Linked DNA regions of Saccharomyces cerevisiae S288C. The protein of the gene in region 2 interacts with the protein of the main gene of each other region in a biochemical or structural test. Each region holds a gene or a part of one and is shown on either strand. Other genes may lie near its edges.

The links.
Region 1: the proteins of DSK2 (region 2) and RUB1 form a complex in vitro, tested with the Saccharomyces cerevisiae proteins (one study listed by BioGRID).

The regions. Positions count from the first base shown.
Region 1 is NC_001136.10:730,838-737,499, forward strand, and holds RUB1 (NEDD8 family protein RUB1), read right to left. Parts: upstream 3,088-6,662; coding exon 2,939-3,087; intron 2,866-2,938; coding exon 2,781-2,865; downstream 1-2,780. Other genes in the region: HPR1 (Hpr1p), read left to right, coding at 1-1,999; MTQ2 (S-adenosylmethionine-dependent methyltransferase), read left to right, coding at 3,301-3,966; DOP1 (Dop1p), read right to left, coding at 4,064-6,662. UniProt on the Saccharomyces cerevisiae protein: Ubiquitin-like protein modifier that can be covalently attached to lysine residues of target proteins. Activated by the dimeric UBA3-ULA1 E1 enzyme and conjugated by the E2 UBC12 to substrate proteins.
Region 2 is NC_001145.3:814,977-822,920, reverse strand, and holds DSK2 (ubiquitin domain-containing protein DSK2), read right to left. Parts: upstream 4,095-7,944; coding exon 2,973-4,094; downstream 1-2,972. Other genes in the region: phosphoribomutase PRM15, read right to left, coding at 1-158; FCP1 (protein serine/threonine phosphatase), read right to left, coding at 467-2,665; ubiquitin-ubiquitin ligase BUL1, read left to right, coding at 4,340-7,270; RCE1 (CAAX prenyl protease), read left to right, coding at 7,610-7,944. UniProt on the Saccharomyces cerevisiae protein: Involved, with RAD23 in spindle pole body duplication. Involved in the ubiquitin-proteasome proteolytic pathway.

The sequences.
Region 1 (6,662 bases), on a different chromosome or scaffold from region 2:
TAATCTTGAAAAAGGGTTACTAAATTCGTGTATAGGTCTCGATTTTGTGTATAACTCAAGATTTAATAGATCTAATCCAGCTAGCTGGGGAAATACCTTTTTCGAGTTATTTTCCACCATCATTGATTTGCTAAACTCACCATCTACGTTTTTGAAGTTTTGGCCCTATGCTGAATCACGTATCGAATGGTTCAAAATGAATACATCTGTTGAGCCAGTATCATTGGGGGAGAGCAATTTGATTAGTTACAAACAGCCTTTATACGAAAAGCTGCGCCACTGGAACGATATTTTAGCTAAATTAGAGAATAATGACATCCTTAATACCGTCAAACATTATAATATGAAATACAAACTAGAGAACTTTTTATCCGAGCTACTACCTATAAATGAAGAATCGAACTTCAATAGATCCGCTTCTATTTCAGCTTTACAAGAATCTGATAACGAATGGAACAGATCAGCACGTGAACGAGAAAGCAACCGCAGTTCCGACGTTATATTTGCTGCAGATTATAACTTCGTGTTTTATCATCTAATTATTTGCCCGATCGAATTTGCTTTTAGCGATTTAGAATATAAAAATGATGTGGACAGATCATTAAGTCCCCTTCTTGATGCAATCTTGGAAATCGAAGAGAACTTTTACAGCAAAATCAAGATGAACAATAGGACTAGATATTCCTTAGAGGAAGCTCTGAACACTGAGTATTACGCGAATTACGATGTTATGACCCCTAAATTACCCGTGTATATGAAGCATTCAAACGCAATGAAAATGGACAGGAATGAATTTTGGGCGAATCTACAGAATATTAAAGAATCAGATGACTACACTCTTCGACCTACCATTATGGATATCTCTTTGAGCAATACGACCTGCCTTTATAAACAATTGACTCAAGAGGACGATGATTACTACCGCAAACAGTTCATTTTACAACTATGTTTCACAACAAATCTTATACGCAATTTAATTTCTTCTGATGAAACGAGGAATTTCTATAAAAGCTGCTATTTGAGGGAAAACCCGTTGAGCGATATTGATTTTGAGAACCTTGATGAAGTTAACAAAAAGCGTGGGCTCAATTTATGTTCATACATTTGCGACAATCGTGTTTTGAAATTTTATAAAATTAAAGACCCTGACTTTTATCGTGTTATCCGCAAATTAATGTCTTCTGACGAAAAGTTTACAACCGCCAAGATCGATGGCTTTAAAGAATTCCAAAACTTCAGAATATCTAAGGAGAAGATACCGCCACCCGCTTTTGACGAAACTTTTAAAAAGTTTACGTTCATCAAGATGGGGAATAAATTGATTAATAATGTTTGGAAAATACCTACTGGTCTAGATAAAATTGAGCAAGAAGTAAAGAAGCCTGAAGGTGTCTATGAAGCAGCCCAAGCGAAATGGGAATCAAAAATTTCTTCTGAAACTTCCGGTGGAGAAGCGAAAGATGAAATAATCAGACAATGGCAAACTTTACGGTTTCTAAGATCGCGATACTTGTTCGATTTTGATAAAGTTAACGAAAAGACTGGTGTTGATGGTTTGTTCGAGGAACCCAGAAAAGTGGAAGCGTTGGATGATAGTTTCAAAGAGAAACTTTTGTACAAAATCAATCAAGAGCACAGGAAAAAACTTCAGGATGCTAGGGAGTACAAGATTGGAAAGGAAAGAAAGAAGAGGGCACTGGAAGAAGAGGCTTCGTTTCCTGAAAGAGAGCAAAAAATTAAGTCGCAACGTATAAACAGCGCTTCTCAAACAGAAGGAGATGAGTTGAAGAGCGAACAGACGCAACCAAAGGGAGAAATATCAGAAGAGAATACCAAAATAAAAAGCTCGGAAGTTTCTTCGCAAGATCCTGACAGTGGTGTTGCCGGGGAGTTTGCTCCACAGAATACAACAGCTCAACTAGAAAATCCAAAAACAGAAGATAACAATGCAGCTACTTCGAACATTTCTAATGGTTCATCTACCCAAGATATGAAATAAATTATCCTCTTAATAGAAATTTTAAACTGATAAGAAATTCATGCATAGTGTCCCAAACAATTCAGATAGATTTTAGCGTACCACAGAGATCCTATCAGAGAGTAATACTTATGATGAAAACAAAAGTCAATCCATTCGGTTTAAAAAAATGACAAACCTATATTTGATTAGATTAATCAGGCGTCAATAACGTCCTTAGAAGTCCCTTTGCTAAGACTGATATCGTTGGCAAAAGCATGCTCCGAGTTTAGTATATACTTCCACTTGATAAAGTTGTAGCGCAAAGGATGCTTTTCTTAATGAGAAATTCGGTATACTACAAGAGGACATCCAATCGTGCTTACAAAATTGCCCTGGAAGACATGATTGAGAAGAAATGGCGAAATATGTCTTTTGGTCAGATAGTCTGTAATCGCATATAACAGTATGCTTGGTTTGCTCTTTATCACCACGCTTTTCCTCTCTTTCCAGCGCGAACCATGCAATGGCCAGCTTTATGAAATTTAAACCATAAAGTCATATGAGACCAGCAATCAGACCATATATAGCCGTACTATGCTATAACGGATAATTTGATAGATACTAAACAGTTTTAGTTCACATTTCTCGTCTAAAAACAATTAATTTATTATAACAGACTCTATAGACTAAATTGTATGTATTTTTTTTTTTGACAAATTGGGGGCGGTAGCCTTCCAAAGTCCAAGTGAACTTATGTTCGTTTTGTCTTCTTTTCTAATGAACACCTTCGATAAAATTCCATAAATGACGGAAAATGGTTCTAGTTACCACCTCTTAGTGTTAATACCAAGTGGAGTTGCATTCCCTCTACTAGATGTGCATCCGTTACTGTTAATTTATCATCACTATCCTGGTCGTTAGTAAGGTCTCAAAAACGTAAATAAACTTAAAAGATAATTAACCACTGAATGAACATACATTTGTTTTCCCTGGAATATAAGTCTTTGTTGAGATGGTGGAATCCCTTCTTTTTCCTCCAAAAGTTCCTTGATGTGATATACGAGATCTGATTCCTTCAGCTCAACAGAGATCTCCTTCCCAGTCAGTGTCTTCACTTTAACAATCATCGGTTACGGCTGTAAGGAAGTTAATTACCTTCCTTTATTTATTCCTCTGTCGGAATACTTCATTTGAATAACAGAATTTTGGTTTTTCAGCTAAAAGTTGTTCGTTTGCCTTCCCGAAGACGCCATCGGAATTTGATTTCATATAAATATTGATATAATTATACTCTGAAATATAATATTGATAAACTTAACACAGGGTGAGAAAGGTGAAGTATGCTACCGACCCCTTATGTAAAATGCGATTACGATAAAGTATATGAGCCTGCTGAGGATAGCTTCCTCATACTGGACTGTTTGGAAAAAGAGCATGATTTTTTGAAACAGAAATTTGGTAATCGTTTGGCCATCGTTTGCGAAATTGGTTCGGGATCAGGTATCGTCACAACATTTCTAATGCAAAACAAAATAATACCGCAGGAAAATTCCATCCACTTAGCTGTTGATATCAACCCATGGGCGCTCGAAGCAACTTTGGATACTGCGAAGTTAAATTCATGTAAAAGTTCTTTTTTAGAAGTGATTCAAGCTGATTTAAACTCCAGTATTCGGAATAATCAGGTTGATGTCCTAATATTTAACCCACCATATGTGCCAGCAGAATGTGTGCCAGATGTCCCAGGATCAAGAGAGGAGGCAGACCAATGGCTAGATTTAGCGTTATTGGGTGGAAAAGACGGGATGGCGATTACTGATAAACTGCTACGACAATTAGAACAAATTCTTTCTCCAGATGGTGTTGCATATATATTATTTTGTGCAAGAAATAAGCCTAAAGAAGTCATTAAGAGGTTTGTCGATACTTACAAATGGAATGTGAAACTTATTGAAACGAGAAAAGCGGGATGGGAAGTCCTCAGTGTGTACAGCTTTACAAGGTGACAGTTGCAAAACCTTTCACGTTATAATTGATAACCTGTGTCTTTACTCAAAGCGTATAACTATATTTCGGTTTATAAAGAAAAATTCATAGCTATGCTCATGACAGAATATCTTTTTTGAGATCTTCACCACAACCATATAAATCAACTGACCCTAGTCCGTAAACTTTCTCATAATGTAGATAACTCAAATTCTGGAAGAAGCTTCTTAGTTGCGTGTGTCTCTCGATTTTGTGAATGCCTCGTAATAATGGGAGACCATCTTTTAAAGTTGTCGGTAATTCAAGATCATCAGTTTTGGTTATTTCGTAATCTTTGAATTCTGCGATTTCATCTACCAGCGCGACGAATGAGTTCGTTTTATATACGCAATTTATTGTATCAATAACAAAGATCCACTCATTCGTAGAGGTGAAGCCTTCCATGTTGAGTAAGAGTAGCAAATCCAAAGTTTTACATACTTGCAATATTGTTTGTGGATCGACTTCTGACTGTATTTGAAGTGATTCATAAAATTCTTGCAAATTAGTTTGTAAACAGTAACTGATCATAGACCAATAGTCATTGAAATGGGACTCTGAAAATCTTAAAAGTAAAACCCTTAGTAAGATCCAGCAGCTTCCCTTGAGCTTGATATCTTTGGACACCAAATAGTGGAAAATGCAACTTATTAAAGAGGAAAAGTGCAACAAATATGCGTCATTTGGCGATACCATCAACAAGTACGATATTTTCAAAAGGTTTTGGCACTTGTACTCGACTTCAGAATCGCTTCCTAAGTTAAACGTGATTAAAGTCGGAGTCACACTTGAACGCTTGGAGCCAATTTCTAATAGTAAATCGTTCAAGATTTTTGACTTATTTTCTGGATAAATGGACCATTCGTAAATAATCTTTTCCCAAGTTTGATCGCTGCCAATTACCGAAAGTTTTTTGTCATTTTGGAACAATTCCGCAATTAAAAGCCTCCAACTTTTAACTTTTGAACCTAAATGGGATACGACCGCGGCCAATTCTAAGACATAACCTGGAATAGTTTTTTCACTTTTGGGTTTGATATAAGGGGTTAGGCATTGATTTACAATTGTCGCTAACGTTGTATTAAACTTGTCTCCTCCAATTTGATCGTTGACGATATATTGAACACGCCATACTACAAATTCTAAATCTTTAAATGAATCAGGGTGGCCACGATATAAGTTCGTAAAGTTTATAAATGCATTAGGTAGGTATTTGAAAAACACATCAGATATCTCCCTCCTAACTCGTTTTTGTTCTCCAAACTGCGTTTTACTTACTTTTCCAGAAATAAGGGCAACAAGTTTTAATATAGACAACGAAACATCAGAATAAAGGTTATAATTGGTTGCTACTTCTCTGAAAAATAGCAGGAAATCCCCATAAAACTCCTCCATTGCAGAGTTTTCTACAGAATCCACGTAGTTAAACAAAAATGCAATAATCGATTCCCCGCTTAATCTTTTTAACATGGAAGGCTCCCCTTTAGTTAATTTAGTTGTGCTTGACCTACTTCCGTCACGATTAGAAAACTTGACAGATGCCGTTCTGTTGTATCTGATAATTACACCATACAATAAATGTGGTATTGTAATGGCGGGTTTATTGCCGTCGAGCACATGTACTAGTGTGACTGTAGTATTGTCTGATCTAATGCTGATCAAATTTTCCAGAAGTTCCAAAGGTTCTAGTAGAAATAAGGTTTCCAACAGTTTCTTCGACCTAAATTTGAACTTGTATGAGTTATGATTAGTGGCGTCCAGGCTAGAATCATCGTTAGATTTACACGAAATGTTATGGGCCCAATACCAGATATCTAAACAGCATGAAATCACCTGTCTGAAAGATTGTAGTATTACGTCTCTTTCCCCCTGAATCTTACTTTCTTCATTGGAAGAATCTGACGAAAAAACGTTTGAAACAACGGATTGAATAAAATCACCCTTTAGATTAGACCCAGAAAAGTATCCTTCCCTTTCCTCGGTGACAAGGTAACCATGTGAAATCTCTAATAGCTCTTCCAGACCACCCAGAAGCAAAGCTATTGGTTGGTAATAACCACCTTCTCTCTTTTCTAGCAAAAACAATCTCTGAACACACTGTACAAGAGATGCAGACAATGGTAAAATCATTCGAAATATAGAATTCTCAAAATAAACAATGCTTTCGGAAAGAAGCTTCACATAGGCCGTTACAATAAGAGGGCTTTTCATATTTGAAACGCTGGTAACAAGGAAATCGATATATTTTAAATGGGCAGCATTGTCATCAAAAATGTCTAGTTTAATACCATTATCGTGTGATAGTCTGAGAACCTTCGATACAATATCTAACAAGGAAACTGCTATTAACTCGGGCTCAATTCCTTCTTCTGCAATATATTTAGACGACATTTGCAGCAAAAATATGACAATGTCCTTGAAATTTTGCTCAGTTCCATCGAGTAAGATATCCAAAAGAATCAGAGCACTCCTGATACTTTTCGCATGTGTATTGCTCTTTATATTTAGAAATCTCATCAATGTAACCAACAGCAAACTTTTATATGTGGAAACGTCTTCATTCTTCCATATGGTCGAAGATTTTATTGAGGTAAGCTCAGTGGAAAAAACTTTCCTAGTGCGTCCATTGTTTGTTTTCAAAACATAAGCAAGCATTTGGAACTCATATGTGAGCATA
Region 2 (7,944 bases):
ATTCTAGAATCAAATCTTTTGTGTAACTCATTCCAGTCGGATTTTTTGCAGAGAGCGGTGACCTCTTCTATAGTTTTTGGGTTGCGGTCTTGCTTAAACCATAATGATATCGGATCTTTCAAGTCAGATGGTACGGTTTCTAAAATTCCTTGCAACATTTTTTGAAATTGCAGCAGCTAATGGCTCGAGAGTACTGTTGAGTATTTAGGGGGAAAGGAGAAAGAATCAATTAGTTCTCGCTACAGGGAGAAAACAATACAATATATAATGTTCAAAAAAAAAAAACGAAATGAAATCAAAAAAAAAAAAAAAAAAAAAAAAAAAAAAAAAAGGATTTCAGGATATCAAAATAAGCAAAAATATTGTTGCTATTTATCGATTTGTTACAAACGTATATATAATATGAACAATTATAGGTACAAAGACCAATGAGGAAAATGTGTGGAAAGATACGGCATCTGAGCTGCTAATCATCCAGCATATCCATCAACTCTTCCTCCAACTGCGAATCGCTGTCTTCGTTGTCATCCCCTTCTCCTTTATGTTGTACAGGACCATCTTGAGAAGGTTCCGCCTTGGTCTTCTTTTGTGATGTATCATCATGATTGTCCTCGATGCTCCTCTTTCTGTCAATGCCTTCCGAGTTGTTTTCGTCATCACTTTCGTCGTCGTGGTCGTCATCTTCGTCGTCGTCGCTAGCTGTGTCCGGAATATCTTCATCGTCGTCATTGTTTAACCATGAAGTACCAGCAGCGAATAAATTTAGATTTTCTTGTGATGTCAACATATGCTGTTGTTCCTGGGTCTCCTCCAGATATTCTTGTCTTTTTTGTAATTGTGTTTGAAAGTTTTGTAATTCCTCGTCGGAGATGGGGCTGTCCACGATTAACGTGTAGGGTTTTTCATCCACCTTTTTCCAATTTACCAAACACTCAAATATCCAATCTGGGTGAACAATTTTAATCTGTGGGTTGAACTTTTTCGCTAGACGCGCTTTATAAGTGCTAGGGTTCTTGGTGATTAAATGTGTCGTCAGGTAATCTATATCTGGAGTGGAAGTGGCACCAAATGTACTCGTCCATATCACTATGTCCGACCTTTGAATATCGGTCCCGAGGGGTATTAATCCTGAAAAAACAAAATAGCAATTTTGGAAGACTTTTTGCTTCAAACTTGGTATGATTTCCATCAGATTTGGTTCTGGCTCATTTTGTTGTGAGAGCATATCATAATAAGTTTTGTGAATGTTTGATAGCGTACCCATTAAGTAGTATAGTTCATCATCGTCATCAACTAGTAGTTTTTGATCATGCAGGTGTTTTTGTAGTTTGGCCAAGGGTCGATTTTGTTGTTGGACTTCTAAAGATGCTGAATATTCTAGTTTCTTGGTCAACTCTTCTTTGGATTCGTTCGCAGGAGGCTCCTCAGCAGTCGCCAGTTGATGGTTCAATTTTTCTTCTTGGCGTTTAACTTCTTTATCTATCTTTTCTTGTAGTTTTTTTTCGTTATCCATAATATCCGTCAGCAGTTCCTGAGATTCTTGGCTCTTCTGTCTTGTCTTCCTCCCTAGTTGTAGCATTCCTGTAGATTGTTTGGGCAAGAAATTAGAATTAATGTCACCTACACCAACGAAGAAGTTATAAGGAACAACTTTGATCAAGTTTGGACACCAATTCCAAACATCACCTCTGTCGTCAATAACTACAACCATTGACTGGTCAGTGGGGAAAAGTTTAGCTAATGATTTAGTTGTTAGAGACCCATTTTCATCACGCGACAGAATTCTATCGCCAAACAATTCGCCCGTAGGGTCCACGATTTTGGCAATTTGCAAGGCATAAGCCCTTGTAGCCATTGTGTAGATATGCATTTCAAAAAGAGGCGCCACTTTAGCGAAAAATTCCTTTAAACCGGGCCTTACCTTCACGTAGTACCAACATTTTCTTACGGGAGGCGGTCTCAGCATAGAACCATCGTCATTCATGTACATAAGTGGGAGTACTAACTCCTCATCCAACGTAAAGCTCTTGACGTCTCTTAATGTTTCAAAATTCGGATTATTGGGGTCGTTCTTCCACTCTGCAATCGTAGGGTCCACGCCACAATGGATGATGGTTTGATCTAAATCCACCACTAAGATAAGTTTCTTATCCCGTCGCAAATGCTCCTTCAATGCCTTGCCTGTTCTAATGGCTTCTGTCTCGCTAATCTGTAAATCCACGTCCCCGACAACGTCTAGTGGTACACCATCGAAGGCATCTGCAGAAACTTCTTTCCCGCATTGAGTACATAGCCCGCCATACACGATGTCATGGTTACATGGCCTTTTTATTTCGCAAATCACTTGGTTAGCAGTGGCTACTTCATCTCCTACGTCTACATTCCAACTAATCAAGTCCCCCTCGTAGGGACTTTCGAAGAATTCTATGGATTCACGCAGTTGTTTGGTTGGCGGAGAGACACCATTACTTCCGGCGCTGCCGCCGGGGGAAACATCGTGCTCGTTATCATCGTCACCAGTGTCTGAGGCCCTTTCCACCAAATACCAGAACTTATAGACAAGCAACCTATCACCCTCATGAAGGTACGAACCTACGCTTGGAATGAGTTTATCGATCTGAATCGGATACGGCAAGCCTTGGGGAGACCTTATTTGTGTGGTCATAATCTGCTTTGCTTGTGTTTACACGTTCGCGGTCAATGCAAGTACCGCTATATGACTAAATACAGTACCCTGGCTGCTAATTAAAGGGGGAAGGGGTGATTGATTGGGATGATTAGCTCGTTGTTATTATGTGTTTATTACTGTAGGTGTGAAACGAAAATTTTTTTTTTTCTTTCGCAAGGGCGCGTCTTCCAAAAGTGTCCAGATATTATGATGATATTATTGATGGATACATGTAATACGTAGATTAAATATATGCCGATAGAGTAGGGTAAAAGTATATAGGTTGCGGCATCTAGACGTTTATTTAAACATCGCCGTTCAGTAGTGAATCAAGAGCGCCTTGGACGGAGCCACCGCTTCTCCTGAGGGCTGCGACGTTTCTATCGAAATCGAAGAAGCCCATGTCGTTTAGTTGTCTTAATTGATGTTCATAGCGTTCTTCCGGTGGTCTGGTGTCTTCTGCTTGAGATGCTTGTACAGGGGGTTGGAACATAGACGCTAGCAATGCAGGATCGAAGGCGGGCATCCCGGTGGATGCAGCGTTTCCCGCGTTAGCAAAGGGGTTTAATGCAGGGTTCAGAAGAGACGCAAATGGGTTTGCAGCTGTGTTAGCGCCTGCGTTGGTACCTGCATTAGTCCCTGCGTTGTTCCCTGTGTTGGATGAGGAAGTAGTGTTCGTGTTGGAGCCTTCCTCTGGAGCATCGCCACCAGGAGCGGGGAAGGCAGAGGCAGCCCCACCTGCAGAGCCCATACCGGCATTAGGGTCCATCATTCTTGCGAATTGCATGCTCTGTCTAATCATATCAGGATTGGTGAGCATCTGTCTAAACATGGGACTTTGTAGCATTTGCCTGGCTTGTGGACCCATGGCCTGCAATTGCGGGTTGGACTGGATCATAAAGTCCAACATCTGAGGGTTACTCAACATCTCGTTCATTTGCGATTGGAAGATGGGGTTTTCCATCATCCTCAACAGCTCGTCTTGGTTATTCGAGTCGTTGTTTAATGCACCACCGTCCGGGCCAAACATGTCTGCAGATGGCATATTCAAATATCCAGCGTATCTGGCACTGGTCAAGTCGGCCAGCGGATTGAAGCCTGCACTTTGACCTGACGACATGTTCGGGGTGGCGCCAGTGCCAGCTGCTGCACCGGTGGCGGTGGCGTTATTTGCGCCAGCGGCACTGGCGGTTTGTGGTTTGGGTTGTGACTTGACCAGATGGACGCTGTGACCGTCTTGAATGTGGTATGACTCCACGGTTTGGTCGTCCTTTAAAATCTTACCCGAGTAGATCAATCTCTGATTTGCCACCGGGATACCGTTCGCTTTGTTTATCGCCTCCTTGAATTGCAACACTGTGCTTTCAGGTGCCACATTTACTTCCCACTTGTCTTGTCCTGACTTGATATGTATATTCAACGACATTATCGTGCTAGAATGATTCGGTGTCTTTGATCCGTCTTATTTGCCTCTCGTCCATCGGTGGATTGAACTTAAAACTGGCTTTAAATTGTTCTTTCCCTTCAGCGGGCCGTGACCCGCTCTCAGAGGCTATTTTAATAATGATAAAAGTATTGCAATGAAGAGCCGCATAGTGATTATGGAAAGAAGCTCTTAGCAAGGGCGAAAAGAGACTGTTCGTGTGTGTCAACAGGTATATCGTACGCTAAATGGCCAAAGATTTGAACGATTCGGGGTTTCCACCGAAGAGGAAGCCTTTGCTGCGTCCTCAACGATCTGATTTTACCGCAAATAGTTCGACAACTATGAACGTTAATGCAAACACAAGGGGGCGTGGTAGGCAGAAACAAGAGGGTGGTAAAGGCAGTTCGAGGTCACCGTCGTTACACTCTCCAAAATCATGGATAAGAAGCGCGTCTGCTACGGGGATCCTTGGACTAAGACGTCCCGAACTAGCACATTCTCATTCGCATGCTCCTTCCACCGGAACGCCTGCTGGAGGTAATCGTTCTCCTTTGAGAAGATCAACTGCAAATGCGACCCCCGTCGAGACCGGAAGGTCCTTGACCGACGGAGATATCAACAATGTTGTTGATGTACTGCCCTCATTTGAGATGTACAATACCCTGCATAGGCACATTCCGCAGGGCAACGTCGATCCAGATAGGCATGATTTCCCACCTTCATACCAAGAGGCCAATAATTCTACTGCAACAGGTGCTGCGGGCTCGAGCGCTGATCTCTCACATCAATCATTGTCCACTGACGCATTGGGTGCCACACGTTCTTCGTCAACATCAAATTTAGAAAACTTAATTCCCCTTCGAACCGAACATCACAGTATTGCAGCACATCAATCAACCGCTGTCGATGAAGATTCACTGGATATACCTCCCATACTTGATGACTTGAACGATACAGACAACATTTTCATCGACAAATTGTACACTTTACCAAAAATGTCCACACCCATCGAAATCACCATCAAGACGACGAAGCATGCACCTATACCACACGTGAAGCCGGAGGAGGAGTCCATTTTGAAAGAGTATACGTCGGGGGATTTGATTCATGGTTTTATCACTATTGAAAACAAATCTCAAGCAAACCTAAAGTTTGAAATGTTCTATGTCACTTTAGAGTCTTACATTTCCATTATTGATAAAGTAAAGAGTAAAAGAACGATTAAACGGTTTTTAAGGATGGTAGACTTGAGCGCTTCTTGGTCATACTCGAAAATAGCACTGGGGTCCGGTGTGGACTTCATTCCCGCAGATGTTGACTACGATGGTTCTGTATTTGGGCTAAACAATAGCCGGGTTCTGGAACCCGGAGTCAAGTACAAGAAATTCTTCATTTTCAAATTGCCACTGCAATTGCTAGATGTCACTTGTAAGCAGGAGCATTTCTCTCATTGTTTGTTACCTCCCAGTTTTGGTATTGATAAATATAGGAACAATTGCAAATATTCCGGTATCAAAGTCAATAGGGTACTTGGGTGCGGTCATTTAGGTACAAAGGGCTCCCCCATCTTAACTAACGATATGTCTGATGACAACCTTTCGATCAATTACACTATTGATGCAAGGATTGTCGGTAAAGATCAAAAGGCCTCTAAACTGTATATTATGAAGGAAAGAGAATATAATCTAAGAGTAATCCCTTTTGGTTTTGACGCCAATGTCGTCGGAGAAAGAACCACTATGAGTCAGCTGAATGATATCACCAAACTAGTGCAGGAAAGGTTGGATGCTCTTAGAAAAATCTTTCAGAGATTAGAGAAAAAAGAACCCATAACGAACCGCGACATTCACGGTGCAGACTTGAGTGGTACCATTGATGATTCTATTGAATCAGACTCCCAAGAAATTTTGCAGAGGAAATTGGACCAACTGCACATTAAGAACAGAAATAACTATTTAGTCAACTATAACGATTTGAAGTTGGGCCACGATTTGGACAATGGCCGCAGTGGAAATAGTGGTCATAATACCGATACTTCCAGAGCTTGGGGTCCCTTTGTTGAAAGTGAACTAAAATATAAACTGAAAAACAAATCCAATTCCTCCTCATTTCTGAACTTCTCTCATTTTTTAAACAGCAGTTCCAGCTCAATGTCCTCTTCCTCAAATGCGGGAAAGAATAATCATGATTTAACGGGAAATAAAGAAAGGACAGGGCTAATACTAGTAAAGGCGAAAATTCCAAAACAGGGCCTACCATATTGGGCTCCCTCATTATTGAGAAAGACCAATGTTTTTGAATCTAAGAGTAAACACGACCAAGAAAATTGGGTGAGATTGTCTGAGTTGATTCCGGAAGACGTAAAAAAACCATTGGAAAAACTTGATTTACAATTGACTTGCATAGAATCCGATAATAGCTTACCTCATGATCCGCCAGAAATTCAATCGATTACCACAGAACTGATATGTATAACTGCTAAATCTGATAATTCTATCCCAATAAAACTCAATTCTGAACTGTTGATGAACAAAGAGAAGCTGACAAGCATCAAAGCTTTGTACGATGATTTCCATTCAAAAATTTGTGAATATGAAACCAAGTTCAACAAGAATTTTCTTGAATTAAATGAGTTATATAATATGAATAGGGGAGACCGTAGGCCAAAGGAACTGAAATTTACAGATTTTATTACTTCACAGCTGTTTAACGATATCGAAAGCATTTGCAACTTGAAAGTTAGTGTTCACAACTTATCCAACATTTTTAAAAAACAGGTCAGTACCCTAAAACAACACTCAAAGCACGCATTATCTGAGGATTCAATATCGCACACAGGTAACGGTAGTTCATCGTCGCCCAGTTCAGCGTCATTAACGCCAGTAACTTCTTCATCCAAGAGTAGTTTATTTTTACCTAGCGGTAGCTCGTCTACTTCCCTGAAATTTACAGACCAGATTGTTCATAAATGGGTTAGGATTGCTCCTTTACAGTACAAACGAGACATTAATGTGAACTTGGAATTTAATAAGGACATTAAGGAAACTTTAATTCCAAGTTTTGAAAGCTGCCTATGTTGTAGGTTTTATTGCGTTCGAGTAATGATTAAATTTGAAAACCATCTTGGCGTAGCGAAGATTGATATCCCTATTTCTGTTAGGCAAGTGACAAAATAAAAAAACATTAGAAAAAATTCTCGTTACTTTTCTTATAGATATAGATATATGTATGGTTTGCTTATAGATGAAGGTATTTATCGCGTCCTTTGTATTCCCTATTATTAATAAAATTCTTTTAAAATGCATTTTCTGGTGCTCTTTTGTTGCTTCTGTATTTTTTTTTTTTTGGACCACTGGATGGAAAACCTTTGATGATTTTATTACCTTTATTTTAAGTTACTAAAATATCGAGATTTCAGGAACAAAACATAGAATTTTCTTTGTCAAGAAAAATAAAACGAAATAAATTGATGCTTTGACTACTGACTGTCTGTCATAGAGAGAACCAGAACAGCAATGCTACAATTCTCAACATTTCTAGTGCTCCTATACATCTCCATATCCTATGTGCTACCGCTATATGCAACTTCACAACCAGAAGGGTCTAAACGAGATAATCCTCGAACGATTAAATCTCGCATGCAAAAACTTACAATTATGCTAATTTCCAACCTTTTTTTGGTGCCTTTTTTACAATCTCAATTATCTAGTACCACTTCACATATAAGTTTCAAGGACGCATTTTTAGGCTTAGGTATTATCCCAGGTTATTACGCTGCATTGCCAAACCCTTGGCAATTCAGCCAGTTCGTGAAAGACTTAACGAAATGTGTTGCGATGTTATTGACCTT